Lonchura striata: one gene and its partner. The protein of the gene in region 2 purifies or fractionates together with the protein of the main gene of each other region. This does not show direct contact. Links are inferred from orthologs where the notes say so. Each region holds a gene or a part of one and is shown on either strand. Other genes may lie near its edges.

Region 1 (7,868 bases), on a different chromosome or scaffold from region 2:
TAATAAATAATAAGAGGCTTGCAGTATTTCATCCGTCTCCTCAAAGAGTCTTTAAATTAAACTTAAAAATAGAGAACTACATTAATTCATATGTTTAAAGGACTACAAATTCTGAGAAATACTGAGTCATGTTTTGCAAGTATTAATTACACTTTTTTTTTTTAATTCACTGGATTTTTTAAATGAAATGTATACAAAAGTTTTGCAGTGGATGCCTGCTTCCTTTTTATAATTATTTATCATTAAACTTTTTGCTAGAGATTATTTGTATCATAGTAAAAAGCACTAAGAATTCATTGCAGTACTGCTAATAAATACTTATTTTTATTATGGAAACAAATGTAAATGTATAGACACTACAGAGTCAGTTTAAACCCTATGTTTTAAGATGCTTTAGAACTTTCTGTGTTATATTTTACCCACGTGCTGGACGTGCCTTTTAATAAAATACTACTTTCAAGGAAGTTCATGACGTGTCACCTATATTTTATAGTAATTCCTCTCTTTGATCTGCATTGAATTTAAAGTCTTTATTATTTAAATGAATGAAAGTTACAGAGTATCAGAACAATTGCACAGCAGCCCAAGGGCCAATCCCTTTCAGTGATGTGCTTCAGTCCTGCCTGTCATCTTTTTTTAGGAAGGATAAGGAATCATTTTTCGAGTAGCAAAAGCCACCTGAAGAGCTTCTCAAGAGCACCCCTTCCCATCTGAGCATCTAGTGCCCTCATATCCTGCCAGCATCCAGCACAGCATGCCTAAGATTTGGTCTACAGTTTGGGGAAACTTTCTATACCAAACCCTTCCCTTCCTTGGCATCAGCCAGGTTTTCAGTGACTGGCACAGGAGATTTGGATGTTAGCATTACAGAGGCCCACGGCTGCAAAGGGGAGTGCAATGGGGACCAGGGGAAGGAGGAAGAGAAGAGGGGGGAAGGGAAGGGGTTACTGCCTGGGATAGCAGTGGACAGCAATGGTTTGCAAGACCCTCATCTGGCCTTCAGGCCACCTAGTTTGGCTCACCCTAACTTACATTTTAACACTGTTTTTGAGATGCATGACTTACAGAAATGTTCACTGCACTCTTTCATAAAACTGACAGGCAAGCATACAAGATGTATTTCTCTTTTCCCTTAATTTCTGAGGTTTTGTGAGAGATTTAACCAATTAGATGTGCTTTTAATAAACAAATCTAGAGGCTCCTATTTTTTCTCTTGTCCCTAAAGCTGGAATGCTGTCCTGCAAACAATTGAAAACAGCACAATCCTAATACATTAAATCTGCTTGTGCCAGTTTTAAGAACACATTTGGCCTCGTTATCAGCATAAAACAAACTAGTCTGTAGAAAACAAATTACACACATGCTTAGATACAGCTTGACTCTAATTAGCATAAAGGATCCTCTCAAAAGCATTTAAAAAATCTCATTATTCTGGTACAGTTTCTAAAAAGGTTTGTGACTTTTAAGTGAGCTTTTAAAAGGTGCATAATAAATGTAAAAATCTGGCTTAACTTACATGTAAAATGAATAGCATTGCCAGAAGAGATACTGCTTAGCTTGGCTCCCAAAGATTTGGACTTGTGACCCTGAATTCAGCAGTCCTTAAAAGTGTGGCCTGATGAGCACCGATGGCCCCTCAATCTGCAGAACCAGACAGCACAAGCTTTTAAGACTAAAAGTCTGAGGATACTGATGCGGAAGATTGACTATAGTCCATTGATCATTGTATTCTAGGAAATAGTTCTTTAATCTACATGGTTAGCTTTGAGATTTGAGCAGTTAGTGGGGCATTGAATTGACACCAAACTGGCTAAAATATATATATATGTATTTATTTGTCCTTAAAACTGAAGTAGAACCAAACCATGTCTCTGAAGTTTTGTTGAACTTGGACCAGAAGTGGAAGACCTTTAGTGAGGGTTGAACCCAAAATGGACTGAAACAAAGAATTTAAGGACTTCTCTCCTTGGATTTAAAGTATTAACTCTTTGTGTCTTTATCCTGTACCTGTACTATATAATCAAAAGCTGTCTGTGTTGCTAAAGATGAACCCAAAACACAGTAGCATATTTAGTTTCCACTAAATAAATTTGCAGCACTAGTTATTAACTAGTGGGGGGAAAAGGAAGGGCCAGATTTTCCCTTAATGAGATTTGGACCTCTGGTGCTGTCCTCTTCCTTCCTAGGCTTATCTCTTTCCTTTCACTGCTTTCCTTCTTTCTATCTTTGTTCAGACTGCAAGCAAATACATGACTAAATGCTGACTGTATAACTGCTGTAATTTCCTTGAATGAAATCTGGAGTCGCTCTATGCATATCCATATGTTTTGCTAACTTTCTAAGACATTCTTGGATAGTATAAATTTAAAAAATCAAATTGCCTCATCTGGCAAAAGGATATAGTAAATAAAGTGATGTAACTGCTTGTCCTAATTTTCTATTTTAAAATGCAGCCACATTATCTGCAATTAAAAGCAGCTGTCAGGATTGCAATGATGAGATTTTCTGAAGCCTCCAAGTTTGGTCACTCCAATTCCAGATATAATACAGACCCTTAGATCATGACAGAAAGAAAGAAAAGGAAGTAAAGAAAAGAAAGGAAAGAAAGGAAGAAAAAGGAAGAAAGGAAGGAAGAGAGAGAAAACCAGCAGCACTGACAATCAGAAGTACAAGAAGCTGGGACAGGAAACTCTCAGTAGCTATGCAGTGCTCTGTTGAGGAACAATCATACAGGCAGTTTGTGGTGTCTCTGCTCCCTGGAGCTGTGCTGTACTGTTTGCAAACGTATCTCCTCACAACTAGTATTACAAACGTTGTGGCAAGAAAATTTAACACCACCTCAGTTGTACTTTGGCTACAACAGCAGCATACTTCTTGGAGTTACTGATGATGATGACTTACTTGTGTGGCTTCCAGTGTTGTCAAATATGTTAATGCATTGCTCTGAAACAACCCAGAGGAGTATTTAGATTTTTTTATATCTTCATTCCTAGAAGACTAACATGTGCCTGAGACAAAAAAAATATTTACCTTGGTTTACCAGCTGTATTGTAAGAAGATATTATTTATCAATTATTCACAAGCAATTTAACCCCCTGTATCCAATTTATTACTTATATATAATTATAGATAAAAGTGTTATGTCATGAAACCAAAACACTGCTTTAAAACTGCCAAATAAGTAGCATCCCTGCAGAAGCTGGCCACATGATATATGTATCTATATTTTTAAAACATTTCTTAAAACCAGCATACAAACTTTGCCTTTAAGGCTGATTTACATTCTGTGTCCACATAAATTTTCAACTGTCAGCCACAGGAAAATCAAAGGAAAAGGAATTAAGATTCCTGAGTGTGACTGCCTATCTTTATGCAAAATCTTGTAGATAAATATAATGTTAAGCATAGGCAGAATGTGAACTCTACTCTTGGTTACATTTTTCCATGGCAAGTACAGTACAGTACAGTTTCCTGGGTACAGTATCTAGGAAAGGCATGTAAAGGTTTCCACAACTAGCTTCCAACTACCCTTAAATATTTCAAATACCCTTAAATTTGTACAATTAGTCTAAACAGAGTGTACAAATGGGGTTCACAAGGTGACGACGTTTCTAGCAGCAGCTGCAGCAACCACTTTTCCTGCTTTTCCAGAGGGTAGGTATTAGCACGCTGTGCAGACCACAGCCAGCTTGCTGTGCCTGCCTGCAGCTTCAAAGGTAGTACGTTCCAGCACTGGAAGATCTTTTTTTTCCCCTTTCATCACTATTGCGGTCCCGACATGAAAGAAAAAGGGCTGACACCATCAATCCCGTGTGACACCTGACACCTATGCAAAGACGGAAAAAAGTTATTTCATGATGTGTGAGTGAAAGTGACACCACCTCATTTTTACAGCTCTGTGAATCACACTCTTCTCCTCTCTACCATATTTCGTTTCCAGGTATCCATATAAAAATAAGTGAATAATACACTATTCACTAGTAGAGGAATAAAACAACAGAATGTCCATAGCATTGTGGTAGACACAGGCCAGCTCTTAATTTAATAAATTATTTTCATCTATTAAAAGATTCTTCATTTTTAAGCTGTTCAGATGAAAGTAATGAAGCTAAATGTGTCCATTATTCGATATAATACTGCTCTGTGTTTGATACGACGATGCCAGCACCAGGATGAAGTTCAGCTTAGCGCATACTCACAGATAGCAACCAGTGTACCTAGGGAGTAATGAGATCAGCTGTTTCTAATATCATTAAAACTGCAATTTCGTAATTCCGAATTTAATTTTGGATACAACCCCTCTCCTCACTAAACACCCCCACCACCACCCTGACTCCTGATAGCGCAGCAGGTCCTCCGAATTCCTGGAAAGGCACCTCCTTGGCGGAGTCACCTCCCGTCCCCGCCCCGGCCCCGGCCGCGGCAAGGAGCAGCGGCGGCAGCGCCGGGCCCCTTCCAGCGCTCGGTCCCGGCCCCCGCGGCTGGCACTGCGGCCGCTCGGCCCCGGCCCCGGCCCCCGCGGCTGGCACTGCGGCCGCTCGGCCCCGGTCCCGGCCCCGGTCCCGGCCCCCGCGGCTAGCACTGCGGCCGCTCGGCCCCGGTCCCGGTCCCGGCCCCGGTCCCGGCCCCCGCGGCTAGCACTGCGGCCGCTCGGCCCCGGTCCCGGCCCCGGCCCCGGTCCCGGCCCCCGCGGCTAGCACTGCGGCCGCTCGGCCCCGGTCCCGGCCCCGGTCCCGGTCCCGGCCCCCGCGGCTGGCACTGCGGCCGCTCGGCCCCGGTCCCGGTCCCGGCCCCCGCGGCTGGCACGGCGGGCGCGGCCCCTCCCGCGCTCCGGCCGGCAGCGGCCGCCCCTCCTCGGCCGGCCCGCAGCAGGGCGGCGGCGGCGGCTTCCGGCGGCGCCCTGCTGCCTTCAACAAAGATGGTGCTTCCCGCGCAAGCTCCGCGGGCGCCGGCGCCTCCCGGGTAGCCTCCCGCTCCCCTCGGGTGAGTACGGGCGGGGCGGCGGGCGCTCCCCGCACGCAGCTCGCTTGCCCGGGCGCTGCCGACGGCTGCCCTCGGCAGCGCCTGGGGCGGGAGGGCCGGGGGAAGCGGGAGAGCGGTGCCGCGGGGCCGTTCGGCGGCGCCCCCGGCGCTGCGGGGCCGGGGCGGGGGCCGGGCTTCCGCGGGGAGGCCGGGCCGGGCCGGCGGGGCCGCCTCCGCGCAGCCCTGCCCGGCGGGAGGCCGGGACGGGAGGAAGGCCGGGCGCTGCTGCTGCCTGCGGGGCTCGGGCCGCGGTGCGGGCAGCTGGCCCCTGGCTGCTGCTACCCGAGCAGCAGCTGCCGGCGCTCGGCAGAGAAGACTTTAAAAGCAAAACTTGCCTTTTTTTTTTTTTTTTTTTTTTTAAATTTCCTGGCGGGGTGGGGGGGATGTGTAAGATTTTTGACCTGTAGGCTTGCTGTGAGTAGCCAGAATAATTCATGGGGTAGTCAGGTGAGTGCAGTTGGTGTTCTGGAAAACAATGAAATGTTTCTAGCGGAAAAACTTAAGTGAATTTGCCTTTTTAGTGTCAGCAGGGGTTCTTATAAAAAGTTTTATCCCCATTTATGTACAGTCACTCTGTCAGATCCAGAAAAAGGCAAACTTGATTGTGTTGATGTGGTGATGAGTCAAGGACTGCTCATTCAGCAGGTCATGGGCTATATTTCTTAAAATTTGGCTTTATAATGGAAAAAAATCCATTTTCAGAAGTATCTAGGGAATGTTTGAGTCATCTTTTGCGTAAATGGACATCTCATAGTTTTCATTTTCTGTAAAATTACTTGACTAAATTTAATTCAGAGCTTACTTTGAATCCGTAGATACAGACGGTGATTTAAATGAATTTGTTACTTCTGTGTTGCACTAAACTCTGTCCCAACACTGTTACACATCAAAATCCTGATATATTTCCATATCTAGCTGCTTAGTTCCTAAGTCAGACATTTGCTTATCATCGTAAACACATACAAATACTTTATCTTTAAAAAGACCTCAGAAACCGGTATGCCCCATCCTGGAAGTTTACCAGGCTGATGCAAGGACTTTAAACCCTCTGTTGTACACACTCTGCAGTCAGCAAGGCAAAGGGCTTTTGCAGCAGAAATTCCCCCTTCTGATCCCTGGCTGATAGGCATTTCTCAGTGCCCAAAGGTGCAAACCTTTGGTTTGTAAGATTTATTTTTGAAAAATGTTGGCTGCTTTGGTTGTGAAGAAGAGGAACTCATCAAGTTCTGTACAGTCATCCAGCATATGAGGAGGCTCCTGAATGGGGACTCTCAGGGCCCATTCAGAATATGCAACACAAAAATTTTTTAGTATGTGAAACAGTTTTCTGCCTGGGTTGAGATGACACCCTCAGAGGTGCTGCTGGATGCCTTTCTTGAACTCTGCAAGTGCTTCATGAGCTCAAGGGTGTTCTCCTAGAAAGAAGAAGTGGTAGGATTTACTGCCTGAATTTTGCTGTAGTCCAGAGATTGCTTTCTACAGTGTAAAGGTACTATGTGTTAGAGACCAGAATCTTCAGCTTCAGTGGGAAAAGCCATTTCTCTTTCTTGCCTGCTCTTTTTCCATCTCCTTGCTTGCACTACTGTCTCAGTCCATGATGGTGTTTGATGTTTGAACTGTGCTGGGTAAACTGGCATTTCTTAGGGACATAGCATAGGCATTACAGTGTTTGATTCCCACATGATCCCTAGACAGAAGGTAAGAACTAGAAATTCACTATAGTAGGTGAGAAATGCACTGGATAGCCTGGGAAGGATGGAGTCCTCCAGGAAGATACTTTCCAGCAGTGCTTTTAGCACTTGATGGAAGCATTTTTGGAAAGTAGCTTTGTCAGAGGATATCACAGACAGGGTTTTCCAGTGTCTCTCATGACACTGTGCTCTTGCATTCTGTCCAAGGTGGCATTTACATGCCAGTATGTTCTGTTAGTCACCCTCCTTGATTTTAACAACCAGGCCAACCACACAGTCTTTGATGGGGCTCTGGGAGTCAGCAGGCATCTCTGATGGCAAAAAGACTTCATCAAGTTTCATGTAAAAGCTTTGAGAATTCTGTCTCTTCTTGTACCCTCAAGCTGAATGAAGTAGAGTTTTTGCAAAGTTTAGCGGTTCAAACAGCAGTGCCTAATTTAATTGTGAGAAACCCTCTTGGTAATCACACTCAACACCTGCTGCTATTTTTTGACTTTATTATTTAGTAATGAGAAAGTATTTAATTGTGTTGTCCTGTCATTTTCAAGTGCCATTAAATGGGCTCAGGGATACGTTTGTTGTTAAGAACTAGACTAGACACTTTGATTTGGTTTGAAGGTCTGGCATGGACTGCTGACTTGATCTTGGATGAGCTGCTTGATCTCTCTGGACCCTGATTATTCTTTCATAGAGTGGCTATAAAATGCATCTTGAGCTTTTGTTTAGTCAGAGTGTTAGTCAAGTGAAATGGAAGCTGGCAGAGGGCATCTGATCCCTTCCTGTGAGCACATAAGAAGAGAGGGAGAAAAGCTATTTAAGCTAAAGAACAGTTTTGGCAGAAGATATGCCTATAAATAGAAAGGGATAAATCTGAGATGGAAATTCAAAGAAAGTTTCTTCTCATCAGAGCAGTTGAGTTCTAGAGCAATCTTCCCGGATGATTCAAGGGTGAGAACGACGTGGTACATAAGATACTTTTCTACCCCTCTTAAACTTGAACTGCATCATGTAGGCCAAAGCTACCTGCTGATTCTGTCCCTGCTGCTGCTGTTGCTTCTGCCTGGCTGAGATGAATGTACCTGTCCTGCTGCTGCTTTTGTAATTCTAGCAGTGGTCAGGTGTAACATCTCTTTAATTTTGGGGGATTGTGTCTCT
Region 2 (7,833 bases):
GGGACGGCGGCCTGGGACGTGCGCGCGCGAGGGCAGGCGGAGGCGAAAGGAAGGGGCGGGGCCTCGGCAACGCCTTCTTCCCGCCACCCCTCAACAACGAGCGCTGCCATTGGGCCGCACCGGCGGGCAGCGCGCAGGCCAATGGGGAACCGCGGGTGCGGCCGCCGCCAGCGCGGCCGGCGGCGCATGCGCAGAGCGTGGGGTGCCCGCTGTGTGCTGCTGCGCGGCCTTGTTGTGTGTGCTGGGATGGGTGTGGTTCCCCAAAATCACGGAGTCACAGAGTGAATGAGACTGGAAAACACCGCTGCGACCATCCAGGCCAACCTCTTACCGAATACCACTCTGTCAGCTAGAACATGGCACTGAGTGCCACATTCAATCTTTCCTTAGACACCTCCAGCACCACCAGTCCCGGGCAGCCTGTTCCAAAGCCTGACCACTCTTTCTGTGGAGAAATTACTGCTGATGTTCAACCTAAACCTCTCCTGGCACAGCTTAATACTGTCCTCCAATTCTGGAATCCTGGCCTGGCCTGGCAGGATCAGCACAATCCCCTCTCTTTGTCCCATCAGTTGGGTTCTGCCTCCATGTGCACATCAGGCACATTCACACACAGTCTTCATATTTGCTTATTTTGTATCAGTGCAGAGATGGGCAGTGGGTGATGAATCCAGAAAGTCAGTGCCTGGCTCTGCATTTCTTCATGGAAAGGGTGGTCAGGCATTGGAAAAAGCTCCCCAGGGAGGTGGTGGAGCCATTGTCCCAGAGGTGTTCTGGGAACAGCTGGATGTACTAGTTAGCTTTGGTCTAGTTGGTCAGTGGTGGAACTTAATGATCTTGGAGTGGCCGGCAGGATTAGGGAAGTGAGCATCCCTCTGTACTTGGCACAAGTGAGGCCACCCCTCGAGCCCTGTGTCCAGTTCTGAGCCCCTCACTTCAATACAGACATTGAGGTGCTGGAATGTGTCTGGAGAAGGGCAATGGAGCTGGCAAAGGGTCTGGAGCACAAGTCTTGTGAGGAGCAGCTGAGGGAGTTGGGGGTGTTTAGCCTGGAAAAAGTGGGCTCAGGGGTGACCTTAGCACTTTGTACAGCCACCTGAAAGGAGGTTGTAGAAAGGCAGGGTTTAACCTCTTCTCCCAGGCAATTAGCAACAGGAAAAGACCTCAAACTGTGTCAGGAAAGGTTCAGCTTATATATTCAGAAGAATGTCTTCACACAAAGGGTGATTAGACATTGGAATAGACTGCCCAGGGCAATGGTGGAATCATCTTCCCTAGAGGTGTTTAAGGAAAGACTGGACGTGGTACTCAGTGCCATGGTCTAGTTGTCATGGGTTGGACTGAATGACCTTGGAGGTCTTTTCCAATCTGAGTAGCTTTGTGGTTCTGTGAAATACCTCAGCTCCATGTGTGGATCGGCTTCTTGCACACTGGGTGACAGAACCCGCTTGTGGGACAGCAGGGCTCTGTGCAGGAGGGACAGGGCTGCTGTCCTGTGCTGGGAGGCTGGGAGGTGGTAATCCATGGCAAGGTCTCGCCATAGGATTATGGGAGTCACCACCTGTGCTTGTTCACTTGATTTCCTGCACTGAGGAAATTAATAGAAGTAAAAAGTTAACACTGCGCTGAAAGCCATTGGACCCAAACAAACCAGGAGTGCTGGTTCAGCAGCAGAGCTGTGTGTGGGCTGTGGCTGTCCCTGCCTTGCTGCCCTGGAGGTGCCCCAGAGATCCTCAGTGTTGGGGCTTCTGTGCTAGTTCAGGTGCTCTCAGAAAACAACCAGGCTCAGAGTGCTACAACTCAGCCAGAGCCTGGAGTAGTCAGTGGTTACTGTCTACTATGTGTAGGAAGAGGAATTTCCCTCAGCCACGTGCAGCTTGCATCCAGAGTCCCAGAATGAATTCAGTTGGGAAGGTCTTCTGAGACCTTCAAGTCCAACCTGTGACCAAACACCACCTTGTCAACTAGACCATGGCACTGAGTGCCACATCCAGTCCTTCCTTAAACGCTTCCAGAGATGGTGACTAGATCAGTTCCCCGGGCATGTCGTTCTAATGCCTGAGCACCCTTTCTATGAAGAAATTCTTCCTGATGTCCAGCCTGAACCTGGACATCAGCTGGAGAGCATGTCCTCCTGTCCTGTCGCTTGTTTCTTGGGAGAAGAGGCTGAACCCCACCTGGCTACAAACCTCCTTTCAGGGCAGCCCCAGCCCTGCGCACTCTTAGGCTCGCAGCCCCTGCTCCATTTCTCTCCCTGGAATGAGCACAACCCCCGGCGGTGCCCGTGCCTCCCTCTCCCTTGGAGCCTAGGGGAGCCAGACGGGACGGGCTGCGGTGCCGGGACCGTGGCCGTGTCGGGAAATCTCCTTTCGTGCCCTTGCTGTGGCAGCAGGAAGGGCACGGCTCCCCATAGCAGCCGGCCGATGTCCCGCTGCCTCCAGCGCCTCCCCCGCGCCGTCCCGCCCCGGATCGCGGCGCGGCTCCCAAGAACTTTTCAGGAAGTGGCGGGCAGAGCCCGGCGCAGCCCAGCCCCGGCGGGCCGGGGCCGCTGCGGAGGGGTGAGAGCGGCGGGGCCGTGCTCGGCCGGGCACGGGGCGCGCCTGCGGCTGCTGCCGGGACCTGGGCAGCGGCGTGGGGTGACGGGCCAGGGGCACAGCGTGCTGCGGACAGCCCGGCCCGGCTGTGCGTGTCCGTGTGCGGGGTGTGTGTCCGTGTCTGTGTGCGGGGTGTGTGTGTCCATGCGGGGGGCTGTGTGTGTCCATGTGCGGGGTGCGTGTCCGTGTGCGGGGCTGTGTGTGTCCGTGTGCAGGGCTGTGTGTGTCTATGTGCGGGGTGTGTGTGTCCGTGTGCGGGTGTGTGTGTCCGTGTGCGGAGTGTGTGTCTATGTGCGGGGTGTGCGTGTCCATGCGCGGGGCTGTGTGTGTCCATATGCAGGGTGTGCGTGTCCGTGTGCGGGGTGCGTGTCCGTGTGCGGAGTGTGTGTCTGTGTTCGGGCTGTGTGTGTCCACGCGCGGGGCTGTGTGTGTCCATGTGCAGGGTGCGTGTCCGTGTGCGGGGTGTGTGTCCATGTGCAGGGTGCGTGTCCGTGTGCGGGGTGCATGTCCGTGTGCGGGGTGCGTGTCCGTGTGCGGAGTGTGTGTCTGTGTTCGGGCTGTGTGTGTCCACGCGCGGGGCTGTGTGTGTCCATGTGCAGGGTGCGTGTCCGTGTGCGGGGTGTGTGTCCATGTGCAGGGTGCGTGTCCGTGTGCGGGGTGCATGTCCGTGTGCGGGGTGTGTGTGTGTGTCTATGTGCGGGGTGTGTGTGTCTGTGTGCGGGGTGTGTGTGTCCGTATGCGGGGTGTGTGTGTCCGTATGCGGGCTGTGTGTGTATGTGCGGGCTGTGTGTCCGTGTGCGGGGTGCGTGTCTGTGTGCGGTGTGTGTGTGTCCATATGCGTGGTGTGTGTGTCCGTGTGTGGGGTGTGTGTCCGTGTGCAGGCTGTGTGTCTGTGTGCGGGTGTGTGTCCACGTGCAGGGCTGTGTGTCCATGTGAAGATGTGTGTTTCAGAGTGTCTGCAGCACCATGTCTACCCATGTCTGTTGCCCCTGAGGCCGCCTCTGTGGCTTCTGGAGATGCCCTCTGGTTCCTTCACCACTGACAGTTTTACAAAGCTATAGCTGATGGATTTTATTCTTACATGTGTCTGTAAGGGGGATATGTACATGTTGTGCACAATGTCTTTGTAAGAAGTGCTCACCTTTATACTAAAGCAGTAGTTTCACTTTTATCCCATTGGCACTCAGTTTCTCAAACCAGGTTCAACGAGGACCCAGTACAATTTGTGAGCTGCCTCTGGGCTCTGCTTCCTCTTCTTCTTGCCTTTACATTTCTGTCCTTTCAGAGTGAGGCATTTCTGCTGCTTCAGGGGATGACGCCTCCCCCAGACTGTGTCTTGGGAACATCAGTGCTGCCATGTCCCACAGGCTAACAGTAAAGGTGCTGCTCCTCAGGGTGTTGCTGGGGCATTATCTTCTTTCTGCTGGCCTTGGACTTTAAAGCCAAGTTTGTTCTAATTCTGCATTACTCAAAAGAAACTTCTGTTTACCAGTTTGATCCATGGCAGGGTTAACAAAGAGCTCCTGATATTCACACTGTGAGCTAGTTTAATTGCCCAGCTCAGGAGGTGTTACTCCTGCACCACCAACATGCCTTTTCTAACCCTCTTGCTGCCCCTATCACATTTTCTCTGCTGCCCTTTGTCCATTTGCTTTTATCCCATTGACACTGGGTTTCACAACCGGGTTTGATGGGGACCTGTCACAGTCTGTCACCTCTGGGCTCTGCTTCTGGCTCAGCTCTCCCTGCCCCAGTTTTCTTCTCTACTTGTAAAGCTTCCTACTAAGGCATCTTGAAATCTACATTAGGCGTAGGCATTTACATTTGTGTCTTTTAAAGTTAATATTGGTCTTTATTCTGATGGTGCATAATTGCTCCATTTCCTGCTGAGATGTTGGCTGGAAAAATTCAGAGGTTTTTCTCTAGGAGGAGAAGCCCCTGTGACATCTGTCATGTTGCATTTCTGTGCTCTTTGCTCCAAAGCTTTCAGTAGCATGCATGTAATCTTTCCTACCATCTTGCTGTGATTATGAACTGTTTCCAGCCACTCTGGACTGGGGCAGGAAGCTTCATTGTGTACCTGTGTTCTTTTTCAGAGCCATCTTTGCTCCTCTCCTTGTCCCAGCTGCCTTGTGGTGCTGCCAGTGCCTGCCTGCCTGGCAAGTCAGAGCATGTCTAGACCCTGTGGATGAGATGCAGAAGATGGCAGAGCTGCTGGGGCTCAGGGATGAGTGTGAGGAGGGGACTGTGGGGGCTCCTGCCCTCGCTGGCTCCTGCCTTGCTGACAACAGACTGAACCTGGATGTTTATCCTGACGGCTGCCGCCGTTTCCTCCAGCTATTCAAGGAGCAACAGGGAGAGGTGGTCCAGGTTGAGTTCCTCCGGCTCAGCAGCAACGATTGCCTCCTTGACACCACACTGGGCAGCCTTCCTCATCTGAAGCACCTGAAATCCCTGGTGCTTAAAGGTAAATTCTGGGGTCCGTCGCCATCCAGCTTTTCTAAGCTCATATTTTTTATCCTTCTCTCCATATCTGCAGGACAAACTGTCCTTGGAAGTGTTTTGTTCCAGTGCCCCTTACCTCAGCTTTGGCTCAGCCTTGCTCAGAGCTGAATGCAGATTTCAACATGATACAGCTTCTGGACTCTTATTTCCTCCCTTTGTTTTTACAGCTGCCTGGGGACTGGGTTTTTGGAGTCTCGTTCAGTTGATGCTGCAGCATTTTCTATAGCCATTCTCTAGAAGAAGAGCATTTTTGCAGTTATGCAAGAAGAGGGATTGAAAGGTGTTGAATCTTTTGGTGAATGTTCAGCCCCTATTTAGTCTTGCTTAGTGTAAGTTTAGCAAAGTTCAAGACAGACCAGAAAATGCTGTTTGACATTTTATGTAAAGTAGGACACAGGGTGTGCATGTAATTTAGAAAAGTGTGATAACTGTTAGAGCTATAAATATTAGATCATTCTTGGACTGTCTCATCAATTTATTGTGGTAGGATCTCAATACAACAAGCATTGTTTCTGTGTCAGACTGAATAATTTGCTCTTTGGGAGGTAGAATTTTAAAAATAAATGAGAAAAAAAAGGGGAGTTTTGGGGCAGAATTCAGGGTTCCAGCTGAAAACTGAAAAGTCTAAGGTTTGCTTCTATATCTGTCATAAATTTTCATGTGAATAATTTGATTTGTGTTTTCCCCCTTTAGTAAGGTGGCAATAACAGCAGTAACCTTTATCAGTCTTGTTTTGTGAGATGTACACACACCCTGAGCATTCTGAAGTGCAATAAAGTAGTTCAGTAAGATCTTATGTACAAAGTGCAATGTGCCTAGTTCAGTAAGCTCTTATGTACAAAGTGCAATGTGCCTATTTGCTTGTTCTCATTTTGTACCATTATGCAGCATAAAAAAATGTTTGGTGCCCTCTGCTGTATATGGATATAAATAGAAAACAGTAGAGAAGGAGTATGAAACAATGAATAAGTGGAACATTTGGAAGTTTCCTTTTGTTTGCTCAAGTTATTTTCCAGGGCTGCAGCCCTTCTCTAACTTGAGTGTCACAAGCTGGGATACGGAACTTTCATTCTTTGCTCTCTGTGTCTGCCTACAAAATACTGAATTACCTACTTCCCCCACACACATTTTCACTGCTTTCCTCCTGTCTGCCTAGAAAATACTGAATTACTTGCTTTTTCCTCCCGCATTTTCCCTGCTCAGACGTGCCCCCCAGTCTTGCAAGGGCAGATACCAGTCCTCAGGGCTGTTTGCTTCTGAACAGCATGGATAAATCATTGAGGGCAAGGACTATTTCCTTGATCCAGAAAGTCTTGTGCGTTGGCCACTGGTAGTGAGGAAGAAGTGAGGAAGGAGAGTGGGAGGCTTGGAGGTATATGGGCCATCCTGCTGAAGTGTGGTAAATGTGTGGGGTGGCGTGGCTCATTCTGAGCTTTCACTCCAGATGTGTTGAACAGAGCTGTACTGGTTCACTGTGGTATCTCCTGGTTTCATAACAGCTCTTCACTGTTACACTCCTTTCACTGATCAGGAAACAGGCACGGAGCAGAAAACTCACTTATCTGAGCACTTTGTGATTAGTGCTGCTCATTGTTATCAGTAACTCCCAATCTTGTGAATCTCTGTGCTGAGTCTCACATGAGGCTGGTGAGCTCTCCTGGTAGCATACTGACCTCTTCCATTTCCCTCCACCCAGGTGGCCTTGCTAGGGATGAGTTTGGTTCCTATCAACATGGCTCCCTGACAAGCTTGCCACCTGACTTTGGGGACCTCAGGTGTCTTACCCACCTGGATCTCAGCTTCAATAGACTCTCCACCTTGCCGAGCTGCATTCTCCACCTCCCCAGCCTCCGTGTGCTCCTGGTGAGCCACAACAGCCTGATGACACTTCCTGAGGACTTTGGCTCTCTGAGTAAACTGACTTTCTTCTCTGCAATGAAAAATCAGCTGAAAGACTTACCTCAGAGCATTGGGGAGCTGTCATTGCTGCAGGATCTGGATCTCTCAGAAAATGCTTTGGAACTGCTCCCTGAAGAAGTTGGGAATCTGCACAACTGTACAGAGCTGGATCTCTCTGGGAATCGCTTATTAAGCATCCCAGAATCCCTAGGTATGTATTTTATTGGGGAAGAGAAGGACGTGGGCTTTGCCAAGCTTTTGGTACAACCTCTGAGACTCTTGGTCTCTACCCCAGAGCTGTTAGCATAAACTATTTTATGTTGGAGCCAAATGGAAGGGGTATGCAGAAGGATACTGCTTGGTTCAGTCAGTGCCTTTGAGCATTAACAACTCTGGATCACACTTCCTGTTTCTGTGAATCATAAACACTGCTGAAATTTCAATACAATTTACAATGACTGAGGATCTGGCCTGGCTGGTTTTGGGTAGCAGAAGAGCTGAGGTTGGTGGGATGAGAATCTGGGCTTGAAATCACACTGTCCAGTGTGGACCAGTCCACAGAACTGGGCCCTGACTTCTGCTGGCCAGCATCCTGGGTCCTGTATTACTTTGTGACTGAGGCTGATTTTGCTGCTGTTAAGCTTTTGTGCTTTTCCCTCATTATGTGTGTGTTGACATGGGCTGAGGAGAGAGGGTTGGAGCTGATATGCAATGCAATTAACAGCACGGATGGGGGGTCATTTCTTGTTCCAACCTGCAGCCAATTTGAAGTCTCTGCGTCGGCTGCATCTCCACAGCAATCTCCTGGTGACAGTCCCTGCCTCTCTTGCCAGCC

Evidence for each region. Proteins that work in one complex are often made in the same cells at the same time.
Region 1: the proteins of PIDD1 (region 2) and CRADD purify together in Homo sapiens (affinity purification with western blotting; 8 studies listed by BioGRID and IntAct, with this or other methods). This does not show direct contact. The link is inferred for Lonchura striata from reciprocal best matches to the Homo sapiens genes PIDD1 and CRADD.

What each region holds. Positions count from the first base shown.
Region 1 is NC_134607.1:53,676,139-53,684,006, forward strand, and holds the start of CRADD (death domain-containing protein CRADD), read left to right. Parts: upstream 1-4,846; 5' UTR 4,847-4,983; intron 4,984-5,387; exon of another isoform or gene 5,388-5,469; intron 5,470-7,868. UniProt on the Homo sapiens protein: Adapter protein that associates with PIDD1 and the caspase CASP2 to form the PIDDosome, a complex that activates CASP2 and triggers apoptosis.
Region 2 is NC_134608.1:44,802,575-44,810,407, reverse strand, and holds the start of PIDD1 (p53-induced death domain-containing protein 1), read left to right. Parts: upstream 1-4,740; 5' UTR 4,741-4,787; coding exon 4,788-5,061; intron 5,062-6,795; coding exon 6,796-7,209; intron 7,210-7,758; coding exon 7,759-7,833. UniProt on the Homo sapiens protein: Component of the DNA damage/stress response pathway that functions downstream of p53/TP53 and can either promote cell survival or apoptosis.